Linked DNA regions of Tamandua tetradactyla. The protein of the gene in region 1 purifies or fractionates together with the protein of each later gene. This does not show direct contact. Links are inferred from orthologs where the notes say so. Each region holds a gene or a part of one and is shown in the gene's direction. Other genes may lie near its edges.

What was found.
Region 2: the proteins of BPTF (region 1) and HMGXB4 fractionate together in Homo sapiens (co-fractionation; 3 studies listed by BioGRID, with this or other methods). This does not show direct contact. The link is inferred for Tamandua tetradactyla from reciprocal best matches to the Homo sapiens genes BPTF and HMGXB4.
Region 3: the proteins of BPTF (region 1) and SMARCA1 purify together in Homo sapiens (affinity purification with mass spectrometry; 4 studies listed by BioGRID and IntAct, with this or other methods). This does not show direct contact. The link is inferred for Tamandua tetradactyla from reciprocal best matches to the Homo sapiens genes BPTF and SMARCA1.

Annotation. Positions count from the first base shown.
Region 1 is NC_135332.1:6,280,804-6,288,838, reverse strand, and holds the start of BPTF (nucleosome-remodeling factor subunit BPTF), read left to right. Parts: upstream 1-5,002; coding exon 5,003-5,633; intron 5,634-8,035. UniProt on the Homo sapiens protein: Regulatory subunit of the ATP-dependent NURF-1 and NURF-5 ISWI chromatin remodeling complexes, which form ordered nucleosome arrays on chromatin and facilitate access to DNA during DNA-templated processes such as DNA replication, transcription, and repair.
Region 2 is NC_135333.1:27,623,431-27,631,257, forward strand, and holds the start of HMGXB4 (HMG domain-containing protein 4), read left to right. Parts: upstream 1-4,814; 5' UTR 4,815-4,902; intron 4,903-7,827. UniProt on the Homo sapiens protein: Negatively regulates Wnt/beta-catenin signaling during development.
Region 3 is NC_135353.1:34,163,600-34,171,686, forward strand, and holds the start of SMARCA1 (SWI/SNF-related matrix-associated actin-dependent regulator of chromatin subfamily A member 1), read left to right. Parts: upstream 1-5,081; 5' UTR 5,082-5,275; coding exon 5,276-5,449; intron 5,450-8,087.

The DNA of each region.
Region 1 (8,035 bases):
TCTTGGACCTGACTTCTGCACCTTACCCACAGGTCTGTGGTGTGTCACTCTCCAAGTCGCTCAAAAATTCAAGTTAGAGCATGCTGGCTTCTATCTCTTGGTCATATTCCATGCAATTGGAACGCCCTCCCAGGTTTGAGAAATCTTCCACATTGTGAGTCAAAGCCTGGATCCCACCAAGGGAACTGAAATGCCGAGGGACTCACCTTCCTGGCTTCCTCTCAGGAGACCTTGTCATCAGACACATCCACCTTAGCTGTTTTTTTTAATTGTGAAATATAACATATACATATAAAAAGCAATAAATTTTAAAGCACACTGCAACAATTAGTTATAGAGCAGATTTCAGAGTTTGGTATGGGTTACAGTGTCACAATTTCAGGTTTTTACTTCTAGCTGCTCCAAGACACTGGAGACTAAAAGAAATATTAATATAATGATTCAGTTGTCATACTCATTTGTTAAATCCTATCTTCTCTGTTATAACTCATCCTTCTTCTTTGATTTTTCTCCCAATCTTTAGGGGTATATGGGCTATGCCCATTCTAACTTTTTCATATTGGAAAGAGTTGTTGATAATATGGGGTAGGGGGATGGAACTAGCTGATGATTTAAAAGGCTGCCCCCCTCTGGATTTCAGGACTTATACAGTCTAGGAACCCATTTGGAAATTGTAGGTTTCTGGAAAGTAATCATAGTGCATGGAATCTTTGCAGAATCTCAGATAGAGCCCTAGGTGTTCTTTAAGGTTGGCAGGAATGACGTTGGTTGGGGTTTGGCAAACCATGGTAATTAGCCAAAGCTTATGTAAGAGTAGTCTCCAGAATAGCCTCTTGACTCTATTTGAACTCTCAGCCCTTGATACCTTATTTTGTTACAATTCTTTCCCCCATTTTGGTCAGGAAGGTGTTGTCAATCCCACAGTGCCAGGGCCAGGCTCATCCCTGGGAGATCCCACATTGCTAGGGAGACTTTCACCCCTGGGTATTATAGCCCATGTAGGAGTGGGGGGTGGTAATGATTTTTCTAGCAGTTGGGCTTAGAGAGAGAGATGTCACATCTGAGCAACAAAAGAGGTCCTCTGGAAGTAACTCCTAGGCATAACGATACCACCTCAACCTTTTAACTGAAAGCTAGCACTACTCTGAAGCAGTGGCCACTGCAGTTTGGCAGTGTCAGCAGGGCAAGCCGGGTCTCATGGCAGGGAGCCAAAGTCATGCTGTGTTCACAGGTCCAGTTCTCTAGCCTGATTTTGTATACTTCCTGACTGCATAGCCTCACAGCCTGGTTTTCAGGGATTTTCAGAGATTCTCTGAGCTTAAAGAATGGGGTGCTGGTGTCTGCTGCTTGCAACTAAGAACCCAACTGATAACAAAATTGGTGCAAGAGTGATTGCAGGCCACGGACTTTTGGGGAAATGGGGTGGGACTGGTCTATGACTGTGTTTTGAGAGTGATGATAGAGAAAATACTTCTAGTATTAAGGTATGAGCCTTTGAGAGCTCATAGCTAACAGTGGGAAAACAACTCAACAAAATCACCTGTATCACTTGGAATTGAAAGCAAGTCTTTAGTGGACTACGTGAGCATATAACGGGTGTGAGGAATTTGAGGACTGTGTGAGGGCGTGGTTTCTGCCAATGGTACCGGATGTCTGGCAGCTGTCTTTGGATTTAGAAGACATTTGTATGTGTTGCTTTAAACCATTTTCAAAGTGGCCTGAATGCTTGCCAACGTTGAGGGCAGCCCAGAGCAGTAGGTTCATTATCAGTTACAGGCTGCAGTGCAAGGAGCTCTGCTAATTGATCCTAATGACCCAATGGATTTATCGGTGCTTTGTGTACAGCCTCATATTGGGATGCTGTACAGAGCCCATGGAAAGCTCTAAAAGGAGCATCACTATAGCAATGCTTAGGATTTTGGAGCAAAGTCTTGCTCTCTTCAGCTGATAAATAGTTTCCTTTTTGGAAGCTGCTCTGACTCTACTCATAGGCCCTGCGGTCAAAAGCCTGACTACGGGTGTACTATGAGACCATGTTAACCTGTGCTGCTTATCATGAATTATCTGTCCCACTTAGCCAAAAAGTGCCCAGTAGCACTCCCATCCCATGCTAGTAGCATTCTAGCATGGTATAGAAAAGCAGGCCAGAGCAGGTTCCAGAGAAGGCCTAGGAGTGTAAGCCCCAGTGTGTTTACTCCCATCTCACCACCACCACACCCCGCAACCATAGTCTTGTGGAAGGATCCCCATGACCAGATGACAAGGAAAAACACCATTTGAGACTGTTTCACAAATGGTATCAGCTGGAAGTGGACAGCTAAGGTGTTTTAACTATACTTGCAAATGGTCTTGGATGGTAGCAAAAGGAAATCTTCTTAGTGGGCAAAACTTTGAATTGTACTTCTTGTGATTCTCTTCGCCTAAAAAAAGGAAGACGCTACATGAATTTGAGGACAGTTTCTCTTTGGCTAAGTAGTTAGGGACTGAGCGGATTGGGGACAAGGCAGTTTGAGAGACAGGACATAAATGAATCTCTCAGAAAAGATTTAGAGAGCGAGAGTTTTTGTGTCTCATATGAATGCTTATCAAAATGCCCACACTACTAAGGAAGCTTTAATAAGTTGGTAGATGAGGAGATCCGCCCTGTGAATGTACATCAAGCCTCTTCCCTAGTCAAACCAGTGCTTGTCTGTTCAGGACCAGAGTCCTGAACAAAGAGGCCATGGAAGCCACAACTCAGGTTGTGCTGTGTTCAATACAACACTTCCTTTCTGCAAGGCTGACCTGGCTATTGCCACTGTTGAGTACTCATGTTAGAAGAAATCAATATAATGAACTCTTTCTATCGTGGAGGGGCCAGTAAGGGAGACACACTGAGAAGAGGTTATACTGAGTTTAGGTTTCTCTTCCTGTCAGTCAAACTTTTCCCATCACCCTATATGGACTTATTGAATACCTTATTCACCATCGTGATATCTTATGCATCATGGCATCTGATCAAGGAATTAACTTTATAGTTAAAGAGATAAAGAAATTGGCTGCCTGTTTAGATTCACTAGCCCAACAAGTGCACCCTGACAACCAGAAACAGCTGGCTTTATGGAACAGCAGAATAGCTCACGGAACACATTGTTACTGAGACACTGGAAGTTAACAGCTTGAGAACTTCGATTCCATTTCTACTCGGAATTGGCAATTGTGGAGATGCCCACATCCTTCTCATGAATTTCTTTTCTATTTCAATAAACCAGAGTCGATTTCTGTTGCTTGCAACTAAAAACTCCAAGTGATACAAAACTAGCTCTCACTGTGCCATCTATTGTAATTTTTTTGTAAATTGGTTACTAGATTGTAAACTCCAAAGGTGTCACTATTTCTATCATGTTTGTCTTCCCCAAACTGTCCTTTTCATAGTACAGAATACCGACTACAAACTTGTAGACCCTGGGTTATTCCTGGTCTGCATCTATTTTGATTGGTCTGAAGTGTTTTTAAAAATTGACTTAGTTGCTAACATTCAACAATCAAGAGATTTCATATGAAGTCCACATTTCCACCTTCTTTGAACAATTTTAAGATCTCGCCTGCCTTCTGTAGTTGCCCTCTTTTTCAACAAAACACAGGTACTCCAGGTTGCCAAAATCTTCACTTAGCCCATTTTGTTTACTTTTATTACCTACCTGGTTCCTGTAGACATATAAATTTGTGACCCTTGGTACTCAACCAAATTGTACGGAACAAATTTGGCAATTAGCACTTGCATTTCTTCAATTACCATTTTACCTGTGTTCTATTTTTTCCAATTGCTTCGTAAACTATTTGGTGGCCGGACCCCATTTTTCTTTGTCATTTTTCTATGTAATGTATTTCCATAAATATTAACTTATGTTTATAAAACCTTTCTCTTACCTCCAGGGCTGACCCTGATTTGGTCTAGCGGAGCCTGAAAATACATCAGCATGATTCATTCCCTGGGCTATTTGAGACTTGGTGACTGATGAGGTAAAGAAATTAAAATGATTTCTCTAGAATGCAAACACAACACTTTGAGGTAGGTGTCAGGAGGGACGCCGTCCTTTCTACCGTAAACGAGAAACAGGAAAGTTCTCGTTAAAGTGGTGGAGTTTCTAGTTGGGGCACTGGAAGCGGTGTGGGAGACTGGAACGTAGTTGCGCTCTGGAGTTTGTCCGAGGCTTTCCGGGATGTGATTATACGCGACAAGCCTCTGAGCGACTTTCCCAGGGCGTGGTTCCTGGCGGCGACCCGGAGCAGTTGCCACTGGGATCAATTTCAGCACTCCAGAACCAAGCCTTCGGAGTTTCATATTTCTGGGGGCTCGTCCTCCCGCCCCCAGTTAACTCCCCTACGCCGCCAGCGCTGCGTTGTCCCCTTCGGTCGCTCGGGTCGCCCCCTCCGCGACACCCTCCCTCTCCGGCTGCCTCAGCATCAGTTTCAGATGAATTTTGTGTCTCCCCGGCTTTCCCCTCCGCGCTGGGCGCGGGGAGCCGCGGGAAGGAGGATTTGCCAAGTCTGGGGTCCGTCTGAACTCCATCCAAGCTTTGATCTCCCGACGCTTTTTTTTGCAGGGGGCATTTCCCGACAGGGGCGCCCCTCTCTCCGGCACCACCGCGCAGAGGCGCCCTGGGCTCCCCGCCCCCGCCTCGGAGCTCCCGCACTCCCCCTAGCGGCCGCCGCGCGGCCTCGCTCCGTCCCAGGCTCGTCGGCGGCGCAGCTCACGTGACCGTGCTCCGGGCCTGCGGCCGCTGTCGGTTCCCCCAGTCACCGAGCGAGAGGGAAGAAACAAGATGGCGGCTGAAGGCGATCCGGAGTGGGGCCCCAGCAATTCGGATTGAGCCTTCTCCCTCCACCCGCTTCCGCCGGCCCGGCCCCTCCCGCCCGGCCCCGCGGGCCTCCCCACCCGGCCCCGGCGCCCCCCACCGCCGCCCCTCCGCCCGCCCCTCCCCCCTCCGCTTTCCCTTCTCCCCCCCGCCTCGGCTCCGACATGAGGGGCCGGCGGGGCAGGCCGCCCAAGCAGCCCGCGGCTCCCGCTGCGGAGCGCTGCGCTCCGGCCCCGCCGCCGCCGCCGCCGCCGCCGCCCACGTCCGGACCCATCGGGGGGCTCCGCTCGCGGCACCGCGGCAGCAGCCGGGGCAGGTGGGCCGCCGCCCAGGCTGAGGTGGCGCCCAAGACGCGGCTGAGCTCGCCCAGGGGGGGCAGCAGTAGCCGGAGGAAGCCGCCGCCGCCGCCGCCGCCACCGCCGCCGCCACCGGCCCCCCCCAGCACCAGCGCCCCGGGCCGGGGGGGGCGAGGAGGCGGGGGCGGCAGGACGGGGGGCGGGGGCGGCGGCGGCCACCTGGCCCGGACCACCCCGGCCCGCAGGGCCGTCAACAAAGTGGTGTACGATGACCACGAGAGCGAGGAGGAGGAGGAGGAGGAGGACATGGTCTCCGAGGAGGAGGAGGAGGACGGCGACGCTGAGGAAACCCAGGATTCCGAAGACGATGAGGAAGATGAGATGGAGGAGGACGACGATGATTCCGATTATCCGGAGGAGATGGAAGACGACGACGACGACGCCAGTTATTGCACGGAAAGCAGCTTCAGGAGCCATAGCACCTATAGCAGCACTCCAGGTACCCACCCAGCCCAGTTGCTGCAGACTCTTTCCCCACCTCCCCTACCCTCCCCCCCTTGTTCACTCCCTCTCATGTACTGTGCATCCTGCTCCGGCCTCCCCCTACCCCCACCTCCCCCCAAACAGGGGAAATGCGACGGCACATCAAGTGGCAAAAAACTAGATTTGCAAGAGGAAAGAGGCGCATTGTTCAAAATGGAGATTGCATTGTTGCAGTTTGCAGGCCACACTCTCGCTCTCTCTTTCTACCCCCCACTCCCTCTTTTTTTTCTCTTCACAATTGGTGCCAGTGCAGTGTCTCCACCGGGCAGGATTGAAACTTTGGCACACATATCCATTGCATTCATTTTCTCTCCTTGTTTTGGTTTGGTTTTTTGGAATGAAAGAAGCCTCTTGTTTTGCAAACCTCTTTGCATTTCTAATGTGGTTTCTTGTAGATATTTATTATATATCTGCTCCTTAGAAAGGGGATTAAGGATCCCGTTTTTAAGATGGGGCGCGCACACACACATCCAAAACACACTTCCCTTCACACCCCTAGATGTGTGGTTTAAAAATTGTACTAAGGAAATAGATCAGTTGGGTTAATAAGGAAGCCTTATCTGGTCCTGTATGTCGTTTTTATTCTTTGAGTGTTAACAGGCTCGTGCAACAGTTGCTGGTAAATGGCTGATGAAAAAACGCAAAGCAGAAAGCTAAGTGAAACGAAACCAAATTTAGTAATTCACCTGATTCAAAATCATTTTGGTGAAATCCAAAATAAAAGTAAAAAACTGCAGGAGCATGCTTTTAATTTGTTCTTGCTTGCTTTGCTTTGGAAAATGCAGATTCCCATCACCTGTTGCAGAAAATGTGTAGTTGATCATCCAGATCATTGCTGAAGATGAACTTTTGGACCAACTTTTGAACCAACTTGAAACTCTCAAAGCAGATATATCGAGGGATTTATTATAAAGTGACCTTTTCTTTTCGCTTTATTTCTGAATAAAACTCCACCCTGGATCTGTATTGAGCTTCTCTATGGTGACTCCTCCCCTGTTTTCTCACAGAGTTTCTGTAGGCTGGTGCTAAAATGCATTTTGTTAAAACATGCAGACACACAATTGCTGCTTTGTATTAAATAACGTAGTTGCAGATTACTAAATTGTGAAAAAAAAACCCAACGTAGTTTGTAGCAAAAACCTACAAGAGTTTCTCCCTTTTCATTATATTTTTGTTTATCTAGTTTAAGGAAATTAGATCCTAGTTTTAAGAGCATTTTACAAAGTAAAATTTATGAGGACATATGAGGAACGTAGAAAAGTAATTAAGGTGTGTCATCTGTTTTTAAAAGAAACACTAGAGTAGAAGTGATTAAACTTAAATGTTTCCATTTTTTTAATAAATGGCTAAATAATTGTTGAGGAGTGTCAGATGTAAGCGTTAAGTCAGATGTAAACTCATTGAGGTTATCTCAACATCTAATGGAAAAAGGTAATTTATTTTGCTTAACAATGGGAATATCTGTCTTTTTTGATGGGGAGCAAGCAGGAGAATGAAGGAAATGAATAAAATAATGTCAAGTATTTATGTCTTTTGTATGTAAGGACTGCAGGTAATTTTTCATTTCTTGCCTACTTAATTTTAGTACATCTTTTATTGTGATAGTTTTTACTTTAAGAAATCGCATGTTGATTTTCTTTCTACCCAGAGTCCGGATTTGAATGAACCACATACAAACTGAATTGCACTATTGGAAGACGTTTTTCCAGATTAGACAGAGTGATGGCATTGTGACAGGGCAGTTCAGCTAACTTTAAATCCCATTTGAAGGCCTAGTAAAGAGTATTTAGGATTGGTGGCTGTGAATTTATTGTTTTAAATTACAGTTTGTGGTTAGGTTTTCTTTTAAAAAAAATCTGTATTTACGATACGTTTTCTTTTTTAAATGTGTCTCCCTATATACATATATTTCTTTTCTATACATACACACAGAGAAGCAGATATGTGATATGTATATCATAGGGAGTTTTGTTCACAACTTTTTTTTTTTTTTGGAGGGGTGGTGCATGGGCCGTTAATCAAACATGGGTCTCCCACATGACAGGTGAGAATTCTACCACTGCATCCCTCAGTTCTTTTTCTTTATGATTCTTGCAGTCAACCTTTGTATGCTTGTCCTAACTCTGTATAAAATTATTAACTCTTTAAGGTTAGGTGTCCATCCTGTATCCCCTACAGCTTCTATTACAGTGTCTTACACATAGCAGGTGCTCCTCAAAGACTGGTTGGATACATGATTGCTAGTAGGTGAGAGTTTGTAATAGATGAAGTTTTGATAATTCTACAGTGGATTAATATGTTTGAGCTTCTATTTTGTATTACTTGCCAGGCACTTTCCTTTCCTTAGAGGTTGTGTGT
Region 2 (7,827 bases), on another chromosome or scaffold:
CACAAAGAAGCTGCCCAGAACACAGCTGGAAAAGGCACAGAGCAGAAAAAAGATTTCTGAGGAAGAAAATTCCCAAGTCAAGCAAAACTTGATCAGCTACCATCTGCTACTTCTGTACACTGGGCAATTTTACGAGGGTCAGATCAGCCAGAGAAAAGTTCCAGCCCCAGGAAGCACCCAATCTTCACATATCCTTAATGCCATCCTCAGTTTGTCATTGGACAATGCATTCTGACTCACCAAGTCCAGCAGCCAAAATCTTTTCCATCTCATGCCACCAAGTTGGTCCTCCTTGCTCTCTTTATGAATCTCTGAAATACAAGAGAACCATGGAAGCATATTCTGGAGAGAATATTTTTCCATCCAGGCTCAGAGAAGGCTTTGCAACCATTCCAGGTGCTTTGACATTCTGGTTCTCACCACCAACCCACTGCTGGTTAAGTTAACCTCCAGAACACAATAACCTCCCAGACAGCAACTAGCCACTTAGATTCAGCAAGTATCTGGGACTTGGGTCAGGAGACCTGAAGTCCCAGGTCTGTTACTAATTAGTCATGAGAGTTGGGTGAATTGTTAATTCTCCTAAGCCCTAGTTTGAGACATTGGAAAATAGAATAATAATAATAGAATAATAATATGTGAGGATCAAATGAGGCCATGCACATAGCGTGCTCTGCAAACATCAAAGGACAAAATGTGAGCAAGGGATTAAGATGGTTAGAATCTTAACTTTGGCAGAGCTACAATGATCAATCCTTGTCATTCTAACCAATAAACTGTCAAAGCTTGTTGCTGGAAAACCAAAGGCAATAAATGAGGCTGGGATGTAGATAACTCACTGTGTGGCCTTGGGAAAGTCATTTGTATTCTAGGGGCCTCCATTTGCCCATCTGTAAAATGAGCAGTTAGTCTAGATCAGAGTCCTGCATTCTCCAGCCCATGGCAGAGCTCAATTATCAATTGATCATAGTGCTCTTTTCCAGCTGAGTCTGAGAGTTGCTTCAGAGTCCTTTTCACTGCAGTGTTCAAGGTCATCAGTAGTTATTAGGTGTTGAATCCTGTCCCTCATAAAAGGTACATGCAGGTCCCAACTCCCTGGTCCTGTGGGTATGAACTCATTTGTAAATAGCACTTTTGAAGATGTTATTAGTTAAGGTGTGCCCAAGCTAAATGAGGGTGGGCCTTAATCTAATATGGCTGAAGTCCTTATATGCAGAGGAAATTGAATACAAGGAAAAGCAAGAAGCTGGAAGTCAAGAGAACCTAGAAGGGAAAGGAGAAAACACTACCATGTGCATTGCCATGTGGTGGAAAAGCCAAGGAACCCCAAAGATTGCTGGCCAGCCAGAAGATATTGACCCCAGAATAAAGAAAGCCTTTTAGCCTGAGAAACCATGAGCCAATCAATCCCTGTTGTTAAGCCAATGCATTCATGGATATTTGTTTTAGTAGTTGGGAAACTAAAACAATGCTCATCAATCAGTGGTAGTGGACACTTGTTTGTATCAGGATCCAACCAAGAAAAAAAAGAAGTTATTCTAAATATTTAAAATCAAAGGAATTGAATACAAGCAATTAATTACATAAATAATGCAAGAGCCAAGAACCCAAATGGGACAGAGAGGTAAACCTGAGATTACCAACAGCAGGAAGCTACTACCACCCTTAGACTGTTTCAAAGGCAAGAAGGGCTGTTGCCAAGGCTCAGGGTCAAGGTCACTAGGAAAAGCTGGAACCTTGTTGGGTCTTGCTGGCATGGGTTGGGGCCACAGAGCAGCTGCAGCTTAGAAGGCCCTCCATGGCCTGGTCCCTATTGTCTCAGAATGCACCTCCTGCCATTCCCCTGCTATGCCCCCGTCATCCAGCTGTACCATCCCCTTCCTGATTCTGGAAGACACCAAGTAAGCTCCTGCCTCAGGGCCTTCATACTCGCTGTTCCCTTTTAGAACATTAGGATGTTCTAATTCCTGAAAGCTGTCTGATTAGTTCTCTTGCTTCTCTAAGATCTCAAATGTCACCTTATCAGAGAAGATTCCCCCATCACTATTTTAAATAACAACCCTTTCCCACCTCCACTTCTTCCTGGTACTCCCTTATCCTACCAAGCATTACTTTTTTTCTATAACTTTTATCATCACCTAACATAGCATCTATTTATTTTTATTAGTATACAAATATTATTTATGTTACAGCATCTGCCCCCACCCCAACTAGATGTAAACTCCAGGAGTCAAGGACTGTAGATTTCATTCATTGATCTATCTCCAGCACCAGACAATGCCTGTAGCATGCTGTGCTTTAACGAATGAATGAATGATCCAAGACTGGGAGCAAGTTAGTAGGATCCTGTAATCAAGAGGAAGAGTGGCTGAGATGCAATGTGCCTTCAGGTTTATGGGAGGCAAAAATGAGCAGCAACCTTATATGCCCCAACCTCAGATGAGATAAAAGATGGAAGGGGACTAATGGAATTCATAAGGCATTCAAATACAAGAGTGGCACAGCTGGAGGGGACAGCTATTGTTTAAGCTTACTTAGCACCTATTCACCCATCTGCTCTGGGTTTCCCTTGAGTTTTCCCCTACACTACTTCAGGGGTTGTTTTAGTTTCCTTGGCTGCTCAAGCAAATACCATGCAATGGGTGAGCTTAATGGGGATTTATTAGCTCATTTTGAGAATAAAAGAAGTTCAAGTCCAAGTAGCATCAAGATGAGGCTTTCTTCTCAAAGACTGGCATTCTGGGGCTGGTTGCTGGCGATTTTCAGTCCTTGGCTTCTCTGTCACACTGCAGTGCACATGGCTGACTCTCCTGGCCTCTCCCTTCCCTTCAGGATTACACTGATAACCACTTCTGGCTATTCCCTCTATGGCTTTCTCTTCCATCTGAATTTCATTCTCTTATAAAGAACTCCAGTAATTAGAATTAAGACCCATCCTGACTGAAATCACTACCCTTCACTGAAGTAACCTCATCAAAAAATCCTTATAATGGGTACACACCCATAGAAATGGATGTAGTGGAAGAACATGCTGTTCTTGGCTACATACAGCGCCTCTCCACCACAGGGGGTGAGAATGTAACTTAACCTTAGCCAATCAGCTATCCCATGCCTTTGCTCATGGTGATTGGTTCCTGTTTGGACACATGATCCAACTCACACTGTAAGAGTCAATCCCAGGACTTCATCGAAAACAAATGAGAAAAATTAAACACCCTCTTGAGGGACACTGCTACAAGTAAAGATGAGGAAGCCTCGAGTTGTGGGAGTTACCACCTAGAGTCTGAGAATGGAACCAACTCAAGGGAAAGCACCACAGAGAAATGTCAAGAGGCAACTTGAGTTCCTCCCTGAAGGTACCGGACATTTCAACAACGCAAGCCAATAAGTCCCCCTTTCATAGTAAACTACTTGGAGTTGGGTTTCTGTCACTTACAACTGAAAATGTGCTGAGCAATACATCCAAAGTATTGACGAACAAAAGGGAAATAATTCTTAAGGCTCTTAAACACCTGGAAAGGAGGCCTAAAGTCAGGCAAAGTGTCCCAGACATGTAAATCCCATATTTGGGGGAGAAATTCATTGTCTAGCTTGTTGGTGAGCAAGCAGAAAGGATGCTGAAGGAAAGGAGACCATGATACTAGTCTTGTTATTTGCATTTACATTTTAGAAATAAATTCCACAACTTCCATCTCAGAATCTCACAGCTGCAGAAGGGGACAGAGCATGCGCTGACAAAAAAAAAAAAAACACTAAACTTCTAGTCCTTTTTGATCAATAATTAGCAATGTGGTCTCAGACAAATTACTTTGCTGCTTTCAGTCTCAATTTCTAAGTCTGGATAGCAAACAGTATGACTACAACATTTCCAAGCACCTATCCAATTCTAGAGTGGAAAGTCCACTGAAGCAGGGGTAACTCATCTTGATGGGGCCTAAACTACAGAAAATGCACATGTGCACAAACACATAATTTTACATATGTCATGGGGTTCACCTTTCTAGAAGACAGTCTATATAGCTAACCTCTCAATTCTGCAGTAACTTGGATACTACCTTCTGCTTGAATTCCTCCAGCGAAAGGGTCTTCACTACCTCATAAAGTACAATACTGAACCATTCCAGAAAAATAATTTCTTTATATCAAACCAAAATCTGCACACTGTAATTTCTACTTATTGGCCCAATACTCAAGAACAAATCAGAAAAAATCAGTTTTCTCCTGAACGTGACATCTCTTCATCTCTCTGAAGACCGTATTTAGCTTTTAAGTGCAAATAATTTATGGAGAGAAATGCAGATGTTTTTCATGCAAATTACTTACAGTGCTTTGCTATAAAGATATGTTCTCTCATCTCACACCAGAATGCCAAACACCCAAATGTATATGCCAAATTCCAAATAAGCTCTATTGTTATTAGTTTGCGTTACTATATAAAAACATCTTGAAGGAAACAACATAGCCTTTTGGAAAGAACACTGCATTAAAAATCAGTAGACTTGGGATAGCAACCTGCCTCCCGCTCCAACTACCTGTGTGCCCGTGGGTCAGCCACTTATCCTTTTAATTCCTCCGAGCCTGTTTGTGAACGTACCTCACAAGTACGCAGTGAGGAGTAAAAGCTATAATGTTCACAAAACTTCTAGCCCAAGCCTCGCTAGGGAGCACAGAGCAGGTTCCCAATAAATATAAGTCGCCGAGCCTTTCCCCATCCCGTGGCTCAGCAAACTCAGCATTTCATTCGATGCGCTCGGCGCTCTTTCTCGAGCGGGTTTCCCCACCCGAGCCGGAGTCTGAGCTCTGGGATCGACTGAGGCTCCCTGTCCGCTCGCGCTTTTCTCTCCTTCTCAAGATGGCGGTGGTCGGCGGCGCAGAGGCGGGATCCGGGCGAGCCGAGTGAAGGTAGCGGCGAGCGGAGCCCCCACGAGGCCGGGCTGGGCCCCCATCCGGAGGCGGCAGCGGCCCCGCCCCGCCGTCACCCGCCACTCTGGGCCCGCGACACTGCCCAAGGGACGCCCCAGGCCCCTCGCGGCCTAGCCCAAGGGTCGAACCGGGGACTGGAGTAGCGGCCGCAGCCCGCCTCTGGGATAGGGCAGAAGCGGGCCGAAGGAGGAAGGCGGGAGGGAGCTGTTCAAACGGGGAAGGCGGGAAAGCTGCGGGACCGAGAGGGGGCGTGCAGCCGCTCCGGGGGCCTGCGGGCGAGAGCTGCCCCTCCCCCTGCTCAGGCCGTCCCCGCCCCCGGGGGCGCCTTGAGGCCGCCGGAGACGCGGGAACGCACTGGTCCGAATCGTGGGTGCAACTAGGAACCCGAATGCAGTTCCTGGGGCTGTCAAGGGGAAAGGACACCGGGTACCGGGCGGCGGGAGGACTGAGTCTTCGACTGGCAGGAGAAGCTACGAGGAGTTTTCCTCTTTTCCTCTTCACATAGCTTCGTTGTACTAGCTGTTGCTGCAAAACTACTGGGAGAATCCCAGTGGTTTTCTCGTGGGGCCCATACAAATGGTGGTCCTGGGGGGCTCTTTGTATAAATAACCTGGTATTGTGTGTCTTCTTTGCGTGCGACCCAGATAGAACGTGGTTTGTAGTGGGACCCATACAGGCCCATTATACCCCAGAGCTATCACTTGTAGATTCTCTTTATTTTATATTATACAGAAGAAAGAAACACCTATCTTCCTTTTGATGGCTGAATCGGTGGCTGAGTATAGTCCTTCATAGCGGAATAAATAATAAAAAAAACTATCGGCCAAGGCTTGTCAAAATTTATATTGCTGGTTTTATGGAAATGTGTGTTGTCAGCCAATTTGTGCGGTGGTCGTGGTTCCACTAAATTACCCTGCAGTGAGAGGATTCAATCCCCAACTCAGACTGTCGAGATCTCTGCAGCTTCCAGAGCTGGCAGGGGCTGTGAGTGCTGCATAGATAGGTCCTTGGAGAGAGGGAGTGGCAAGAATTCGGAGTTGCTGTATTCTCATACTGGAGGACACCTCAACAAATATGAGAAGACATCACCTGCTCACTCCTAGAAGTAACAAAAAAAAAAAAATCACAAACTGGCAACAGTTGGATGTGCTTCTTTTACCTGCTTTGACTGGGAGTTTGAGTTCCTGAAAGGAGGGCTGGAAGAAAAGAACACAGAACCTTGGACAAGGCACTCATCCTGGACTAGACGTGGATTTCACTTACTGCCTGCTTTATGGAACTTACTTTGTTCCCTCTTTTTCAATATCCATTTACATTCTGGATGAAGAAACCTTTTAGTGATTTCTGAGGCTTGGGTTACCTCAAAAAATTACCTTCTGAAACTTTGTGTTCAGTATCTATACTTTTAATTTTTTTAATTCAGTTTGTTAATTTTTCCCTAATTAATCTGGAATTTTTTCCCTAATTTGGTAATCTGGAAAGCCTATTTCTGAACATAACTTGTTTATCTGCAAGTGGAAGAACTGCTCTGCCTCCCTTTTTGATATCCCATAGAAAAGTTCCAAAAGACCCATTTACAATTTTATACTTCATAAGTACACATTTTTATGTCATATTTCTTACTTCCATTAACAGTGTTAGTGAACTTTTACTTTTGCTGTTATTCCTTAGTACACTGAGATAGAATTGAAAACTTATCCCTACCTCTTGAAATTGACAACATTGAATTCTGTCAAATCCAAATTTGTGAAATTCAAGAGAATGGGTTTAAATATCTGTTTTACATTCGCCAACATTTAATTTAAATGGCTCTGTTTTCTAATGTGAAAATTAAACCTAATGTTTCTCATTGTTGTTAATCCCAATAGTCTTCTCCTTATCCCTGAACTCTGATTTTATCAAGGATAATATTCTAGGCCCAAAAAGAATGTCAGAGTCATCTGATCTTATATGTGTTACCTTAACTCTGCCTTTCAAGTTCCACACTATTGCTTGAAACTCCTTTATCTGATATTATCTTTATAAGTCAGCAATCACAACTAGCCTCTGAGCTGCAATAATATCCTGATTTTTGAAAACCTAGAAATTGAGGGCCCATCACTCTCCCCAAGTTGTGATGTAGTCCATTGTGTTTAATTTTAGCTTGACAAGCTCTTAGCAGCTCCAGTTCTTTTGGGAATTGGACTTGCCTAGAGATCTCTCTCATTTTTATTTATTTATAATTTATGAAATGCTCTTCAATATTTTAAAGAAAATTTTAGCAGTAGTAAGCCCAATTCTAATGAATAACACTAATACCAGCACATGTTGAGGATTGGTCTGTGCCTCTGAAGAGTGCCTAATTTTCCATTTCCTTTCACAATTATTTGAAGTAGTCAATATGAGACCTGGAATGCCTTGCCATAGTCCAGTAAGTCAGTCTTTGTATTTTTTTTTCCATACCCTCTTCAAGGTACTTATTCCTGTTTTGAGTGTTAGAGTGCTCAATTCTGTCATGTTTTGGTGTTACCAGAGGACGGCCTGCTTATAAGTCTCAGGACCTACCTTTGCTTGCATGTAGAAGTGCATTTTATTGTTGACAGATTGATGGCCACATTTATGGTATTGAAAATTTAAGTTTTTTCCCCATTATTTCTCAAATAATTCTTTGCCAAAAACTATTTGGCATGAAAAGCATTTAACTTAAAGTCTTATGTTGTGGTATTTCTTGGCATGCTCAGCCTGTGAAGACTAACATGAGCTATATATTTTTCTAATAAACTCAATATTTTGATGCCAGTAGGAGGATGTACTATTTTTAAATGAATGGGTAGAATACTCTGTGACATTTCCTTTACTCCCTCACCCCATCCTTTTTCTTGTCAGCACCACTTGGATGGAAAGGGGAAGACAGTAGTTTATCTT
Region 3 (8,087 bases), on another chromosome or scaffold:
AGTGTCTTAGAGTAGCTAGAAGTAAAAACTTAAAACTGTGGAATTGTAATTGTAATTTATACCAAACTTTGAAATCTGTTCTACAAGTAATTGTAGAGGTATGCTTTGAAATTTATTGGTTTTTGCATATATGTTATTTTTCACAATTAAAATAAAAAAAGAGTGAGAGTGTCTTTTCATAAACCTGGTGGGAAAAAATGAAGACAGATGGCAGAAAAATTTTCAGTCATTTTCTCAATATGAATTCTGCAGTTAAGGAGGAAGCCCTGTGAAGAACCAAGAACTTATTAAAGGTAAAGTGGAAAGATGAGGTATGCAGCTGGACAGTCTGAAATTTGAATTTGGTTTCAGTTACTCACTAGCTGTGGAACCTTAGACGTGTCATTTAGCCACTCCAAGCCTTAGTTTTCTCTTGTGTAAAATGGGGACAATAATATATATTTCATGGAATTATCATGAAGATTAACAAAATCATATGTAGAGACCCTAACACAGTGTCCTACACAATAGTGGGTGCTCAGAAAACAGTAGACGTGTTCTAGCCATTACCTTTTCCTTAGCATATAGAGCACCAAGGAAATTCCACATTTTTAGAATTCCACTATCATAAGTGTCTTCTATTTTGTGGGTGAGAAAGCTTACTGATAGGAACAGAACAGTTACTATCATTGTAAGCAAGATACTGTGACCACAATACTTTGAACAAGCCACTGAAGAACACTGATCAGTGGGATCACAATGTAGTTTTATGTAATACTGTGGTTTGGATGATAAATTTCAGATACAAGATAAGAGCAGGAACACTAAACCCTTGACCTTTCTTTTATGAACTTTATAAAAATATTCAATACCACCAGTGGATATATCCTCTGGTAGATATTAAACAAGTTTGGCTCCGTGAAAATGACAGTTTAACAATCTCTACAATGTTCCCAAATTGTCAAAATGGATATATTGTCCACTAGACCATGATTAATTTTGAGGTTCCAAAATATGGCCTCAAGGCTCTTTATAAAAGTTTGCTTTGTTGTGGTGATTATTATTTCTGGATTTTGAGAGGCTGTTGTATATATATAATCTGATATTTAGAGAAAAGAACAAAGCCGAACAGGTTGGGGTTAAAGTAATTCAGAACATAGGGGTAAGGAAGACCGTCTATATTTTAGAACCACACATACTCTTTGAGATCAGTGGAAGAAAGGTTTATTAGATCTGGAACTGAAATTTTCTGTAGTGCATAATCTAATTCAACCTATCTGTACAGCTCATATGAGCAACTGAAACACAGGGAGCCCAGAATAAGAGGTCCTTTCATCCTGTATAGATTATTATAATGTCTGGAAACATCCTAGAGTGTATTAATCAGATAATCAAAAAGTATTGGCAGAGTCCTCTGAGGGAGGGAGAAAAAGACTACGGAATTATTAAATCTTACAATCAGGGAATCCCCTGATACTGTGTCAAACTTTAGGGACACCCAAATCAATAGGCCATGCCCTCGATTTTGAGGCTTACTCTTGTGAAGCTTATGTAGGTAGTGGAGAAGCTTAGATGACCTATAGGCATGCCTAAGAGTTACTTCTGGAGGACCCCTATTGTTGCTCAGATGTGGCCTCAGTCTCTCTAAGCCCAACACTGCACGTGAAATCATTTCCCTCCCCTCTACGTGGGACCTGGCATCCAGGGATGAAAGTCTCCCTGGTGACATGGGAGAGGACTCCCAGGGATGAATCCAGACCTGGCACTGTGGGATCAACAATTCTATCCTTACCAAAAGGGGGAAAAGAAGTGTAATTAATAAAGTATCAGTGGCAGAGAGAGTTCAAATAGAGTCGAGAGGTAACTTGCCACTGAAATCTAGCCCAGCCTCTCCAGAACATCAGATAGTTCCATCTTCCTACCCCATATGAGTGACAGACCCTTCCAATAGCAAAATTGCCATAGCCCAAACAACCCCAATGAGAGGTATGGAAAGATCAAAGGTGATGGTGGAATTATACATAGAAGATAGGACTTAACAAATGAATATGAATGCTGAATCATTAAATTGATATCTCTTTTAGTCTCTAGTATTTTAGAGCAGCTAGAAGTAAAAACCTAAAATTGTGAAATTGTAACCCATGTCAAAGTCTGAAATCTGTTCTACAACTAATTGTTGTACTGCTTTGAAATTTATAGCTTTTTTGTATATATGTTATTGTTCACAAAAAAAGAAGAAAAAAAAGTTGATTGCGATGATAAAAAAGTATTTAAGCCTGTAGCCTCCTATATTCTGGAGCAGCTAGAAGGAAAAATATGAGAGGATTGTATAGTAGCCCATGACAAACTCTGGGATCTATCCTGTAACCACTTTTTGAAGAGTGCTTTAAAAACTATTGCTTTTTTATTTCTTTGCTTTGTATATATGTTATACTATGCATTAAAAAAAGTTTTAAAAAAAGGAAAAGTTTGCTTTGTTCAACCTCAACGGAGTAGAGCAAAGACCATTTTCATCGAAGAGACATAATTGGGTAAAGTAGTAACAGATAGAGCAAGGTGTTGAGTAGGATCAGAAACAAGTTGCCTCTTGTTGAACAAAGTCTGCAGATCATGAATTTTAGGCAGATTTGCAAATAAGGATAGCACATGCTCTGTAAATAATAGCTGTTGCCACAAGCCAAAGGGCAGTATTTACATGAGTCCTGTGGCAAGGACTATTGACTAAGCATCGACCTTTACAGCCAAATTCGTATACTTGGAAACACTTTCAGCGGTGTCATCTTGAAAAGGAAGAATCACATTATACATAAGTGGAAAATCTCCAAGACAGAAATATGTTCTGGTACCCAAATAAACTTCCAAATTCTTCTTTTGAACTTGGAACACATGTTCCCATAGAAAAGTATTATGAGGAGATGTAAGTTTCTCAGATTTCCTCACAAAAGATCATTTAACCCATGATGTCACGGAAGTACTGTATATTTGCAATGAGAAATAAGTGGAACAAAGTACCCTTGCAAGCAGGAACACATCAATACTTCAGCAAATGTTTCTTGAGTCTTTCTCCTTTGAAGCCCCAGGCAATGGAAGTAGAATTCTATCCTCCCCAGGGCTACAGTTTGGTGAAAAAGAAATCGTCCCCTGCTGTCGTGTGGAAGGGTCCTTCTTAAATGAGATGGATGAATGTATCACAGCATCTGTTTCAGCGCTTCTTGAACTTTTTCAGCAAACAACCCTTATTGACTGAGGAGATAGAATTGGTAAAGGGAAAAGGGTAGGATGCCTAACTGGAAGTCTCAAGCTTTTCTTTGGAGACACTTCCAACTCTGCAGACCACTCCTTAATATAGCTGCACATCGTAATAGAAAGAATCATGCTCTAATCATCAGTCAAGCAACTTAATTCCGTTTCATTTTTAATAAAGTTCATAGTGCAGAAATATGAGCCATTTTTATACTGAGGGTCCCTATACCCATTGGATAGTCCACGTGTGCACTCACTGCTGAAACACGTGGTGGTGGGGTCATCTAAAGTGAATGAGAGGAACGTAATGAAAGCAAAATTAGAGCAAAGTTAGCACCCCAGCCTCCCCTTTTCTCTTAATGGCACACCCCTTCAGTCACCAGTATCTTGCTCTTTGATTTTTTTTCTCTGTTCAAAACCAGTTCCTGAACAGTATCTCACACTCATGAACACTAAGGTGTAAATGAAAAATAATAGCTAAGCAGTCACAGGTGTTGTTTTTTTTTTTGTAATAGAAAGGGTGCCTTTATAAGAGCCGATTAAGTCCGAGTGGCTAACAACATTGCTCTTGGGTTCAGCTGAGTTCTTAAACTCTGTAAATCACTAGCAGGGTGATCTAGGGCAAGTCACTTAAATCTCTGAAACTGAAGAAGGGCGAAGTCATAGGTTTTTGCATATTAGGGATGCACAATTGTAAAGCAAAAAAGGAATTTAGGGTATTACCCCTAGGGAAAAAGGGATACATTTGGGGGGCAGTTGTGTGATTTCTTGCTGTTTGCAGCAATCACACATCATTTCAGACTGGTAATTTAGGGAAGTATGTTGAGGGAGTTTAATCATGGTTTTTTTTCACTTTGGAAAGTATTTGCTTCATTGTGGAAGTTGTGGATTTTGTAGTGATTGATTGGCATACTGTTTACTATATGTTTTATTATCTTTTGTCCTTAATGTCTGAAATTTGAAAGCTAGGATGTAAGTTTTCCCATTACAGATCAAAATAAATGGCAAGGAGATATAGTAATAATAATATTTAAAGCTATGTTCATGTAGTGTTGCACCTTTTACAAAATGCTTTCATATCTATGATCATATATATTATTGTTGAATTCCTACTAAATAATTACGGTGGTGCACATAGAACACGCAACCCTTCCAAAAGAATTACAGTAATTCAATCCAAATACAAGTTTTAGGTACTTATCATGTGCTATCCCAGATTCTGTGGGACTTTGCTCTTGGCCCCTAGGAGTTTTAAAATTCAGTGGTGAAGGCAAAAAAAAGGGCTTCTGCACCCTGGCCGTCCGAGGATACCAGAGTTTAAAATAAAACATACATACACACACACCCGCCCCCGACAGACGTCGCCTTGTAAGTGAATATTTGTAGCTGCAATCAAAAGATTCAAGGAATGGTTCTTTTGCAGAATTTAGGAAGGTGGGAATTGCACCACTCATCTCCGTTTAGGGACTAGGGAAAAGTCAGCCTCCAGAGGGGCTCTGAGTTTTGCAACTGGTGAGAAAACCTTTCACAGTACAGTTATAAGCAGAGGAAAAGTTCTTGGTAGCAGGGAGGGAGAACGCCTGGAGGTACAAAGAGCAGATTTGAGGGAAAGAGGATTCCTTTTGCATACATGTGCGAGGGGAGTTCAGCTGTCTGTTGGGGGCGTTTGGGAAAGAAGATTTTTAGGGGGTGGTGGGCTCTCGGTTCCCGCCTCCAACCCTGTCAGCGCAGCACACCACGCTCAGGCAACAGTTGGTTGAGCGGGGCCTGCCCGGGCTCTGGGTGGGGAGGGGGAGTCTCGCGATCGTTGAGGGGGGTGTGTGTGGAGGAAGGGGGGAGGGTGACGGGGGGGGGTAGGGCATGACGTATGGTGGGTGGACGGAAGTGGGGCAGGGTTGAGGGTTATTTAAAGAAGGGGGGTCGAGCAAAGGGGTTGGAAGCCGAGTGATTTGCCCAGTCCTGCTTCGTCTAGCGCTTTCCAGAGCAGCCACTGCCGCCGCCCAGGAGCCCTCGTCCCCTTCGCCGCCCCCCTCCCCGTCCCTGCTCCAGCGCCATGGAGCCGGACACCGCTGCTGTAGCAGCCACCGTGGCAACCGCTGATGCGACCGCCACAGTCGTGGGCAATGAGGACGAGCAGCCGAGGCCATCCACTTCTAAGGACGAGGGAGCGGTCGCCGCGGCCACCGAAGCCACCGCGTCCACTGAGAAGGGCGTGAAGAAGAAGGAGGTAAATAGGAAGGGGTGTGTGTTTGGTGAACAAATCCTGTGCCTGCCGCCTCCAAGGGGCCCAAATCCTGACCTTTCGGTGCCGACAGGTACCCGTGGAGCTCTCCCGGCCGGGGCCCGCGGGCCGGGTGGGCGCCGCGGCGGAACAGACTAGCGTTCGCTCCCTTCCCCCTTCCCTTCTCGCCGCTGGAGGGCGGGGGCGGGGTGCAGCGCCCGGTGGAGGGGCGCCCGTTATCCCGGGGCTTGGGGACTTGGGAGCCCCTGGACAGCCCCCAGACCCCTTCACATTCCCGCAACTGGGGTAACAGAGTGGGGGGGGATGGGGCTGTGCAGAAAAAAGCCTCCGCCTCCGCCTCGCCCTCTCAACTCGCTCGCTCCTTCTCCCCCCACCTTCCCGTCGGCCTCTGCCTGGGAAATCTCGGCCCTTCAATCCCACACTCGTGCAAAAAAAAAAAGGGGGGGGGGTGGTTTGCTGGGTCTTAATTTTTATTTGAATTTGAAGGTGTTGGTGGTTGGGGGAGGGGCGGAGGATAATAGGGAAGAAATGTATTTCTCGGATTGGCAATGTCGGCCCTTTGGATGGCAGAAAAAGAAAAAGAAAAAAAATCATCCCTTGTTCGTTCGGTCCCCGACGGCTGAGGCAGGGGTGTCACCCCAAGAAAACGAGTTCTCCGCGTTGTACTCTCCAAGCCAACCCCCAAACGGAGGAACCGTGGACGCTGGTTTAGGAAAATTTCCAATGTCTGCACCCCCACCCCCTCCTGCTCCGCCCCCAACGGTATAGTGTTTCACTCCAGGGCCACCCAAATGGTCTCCCAGTCGGGCCCCAAGTCTTCCAGGCCTCCGCCTCTCTCTCCTAGTGGGCGATGCTGGCTCGTGGACACACGCAGGACCCCCCCTCACCCCCTTTTTTTAACCAGGCGTCGCCAGGATGAGCTGCTGCTAACATAACTGGAGACCGCTCTGGCGCCTATTTAAAGCCAGATTCAGAAAACATGTATTATCTCTGTAATGTATATTCATATGAAATGCGTTGAAAATTGAGATTAAAAGAAAAAACATAGGATGGGGGCATATGGATTTTTGATGTATAAGTAGATTGTAGAATGGATCGTTTACGGGTGGATTTGTTTTCTATTTATGAGTTTGTTTTCCATTTATGAGTATATTGCAATAAAAATGGTAGGTAATTAAAATTATGCCTTAGAGATCGCAAGTGGCTTTGTCTGAATCATTAAATGCTATACAACCAAATGAAAAGCTTTTGAGGGAAATTAACACCTTTAGCCTTGAATTAGAAGAGTAATTTTAAATTCGGCGGTTGCTGAAGTGATATTTTTTACTGTTACAGGGTTGAGTAAACAGAAAAACAGTCGTGGTGCTAAGTGAACAACGTAGAAAACGTGCGTTTTTAGATTTGTGCGGTACTTCTATCAATAAGACAATGTTGATGATTGAAGCTGGGCCAGATACCACACATCAGTATAGATCAAATGTTGGGAAATTCAGAAATGCCTTTATTCTAAAGATGTCTTTTATTCATTCCCCAAACTGAACAAATGTCAAGTGCTAAGCTGTCTTTTCTGTGGTAGTAGAGGTTGTCGAATCTTCAGGTTGTATGCACATTTTCGAATTGTGAAAAGACTGGGAATCAATAAAAAAACTACTATATATATAATAAGCACTGAGATAATACAGATATTCATGAACTCTTGCAGCCTTCATCAGAAATTACCCTGATGGTACTTCATTTATCTACTCAGCATAGAGGAATGAGGTGTTGGAAGTTTACTATTTTAGGCCCAATATCTTTTTATTTTTAACTTTCTCCTTGAAAATCTAAATATATTGTATATTTCCTTGACTCCTTAAGTAGTGTACTAAAAGTACAGATTAACCTTTCCCTCATGACCATAAGTTGTTGCATTCGGACAATGATAAAAAGTTAACTGAGGACTAGGAGGTTTTTCCCCCTAAATTAACTAACCACCTCCCACACCGTTCTAGTATGGTATTGATTTTTAAATCGTTTTTCTGTCCCCTCCTTCAATTGTCAGGTTGTTGCTTTTGAAACACCTCACCTACTTTTATCAGAAATAATTTGTTAATATATGATAAGGGACATAGATGAAGCAAAACCATAAAATCATTTGAAACAGCAGAGAAATACATGAATTCAAAAGATGAAGCAGGAGAGGGAAATAATCAACACCTGAACCTGAACACTGAGGATTAGGGGATGCTATTATAGTGGAACACAGATTTCAGTACTGAGCTTTTGCCATTCCTTTTTCCCATTGACAAAGTGTGCCTTCTAGTAATCTCACCCACATAATTTGCTGTTGCTTTTATTCTCTGTGGTATGGGAAGCCAGATTATCAAATTTGCTAGAATTTTATGTCAAATAGGCTCTGAATGAGAGCACTTTTATTGTGAATAAAGTAGGTGAAATTTAGTAAATTGACTTGTGACATTTTGGTATTTAAAGGTAATTTCTTTACCTTCTGGTTCTGGAATTTACTGGGTTTAAGTGATGGTTGGATAACCTAACATTTAGACGTTGGAGACGGTATTTTTGGTAATGAAAACATCAACAAAAAGGTCATGATGGCCTTTAAGACAAGGCATTTTAATGACCT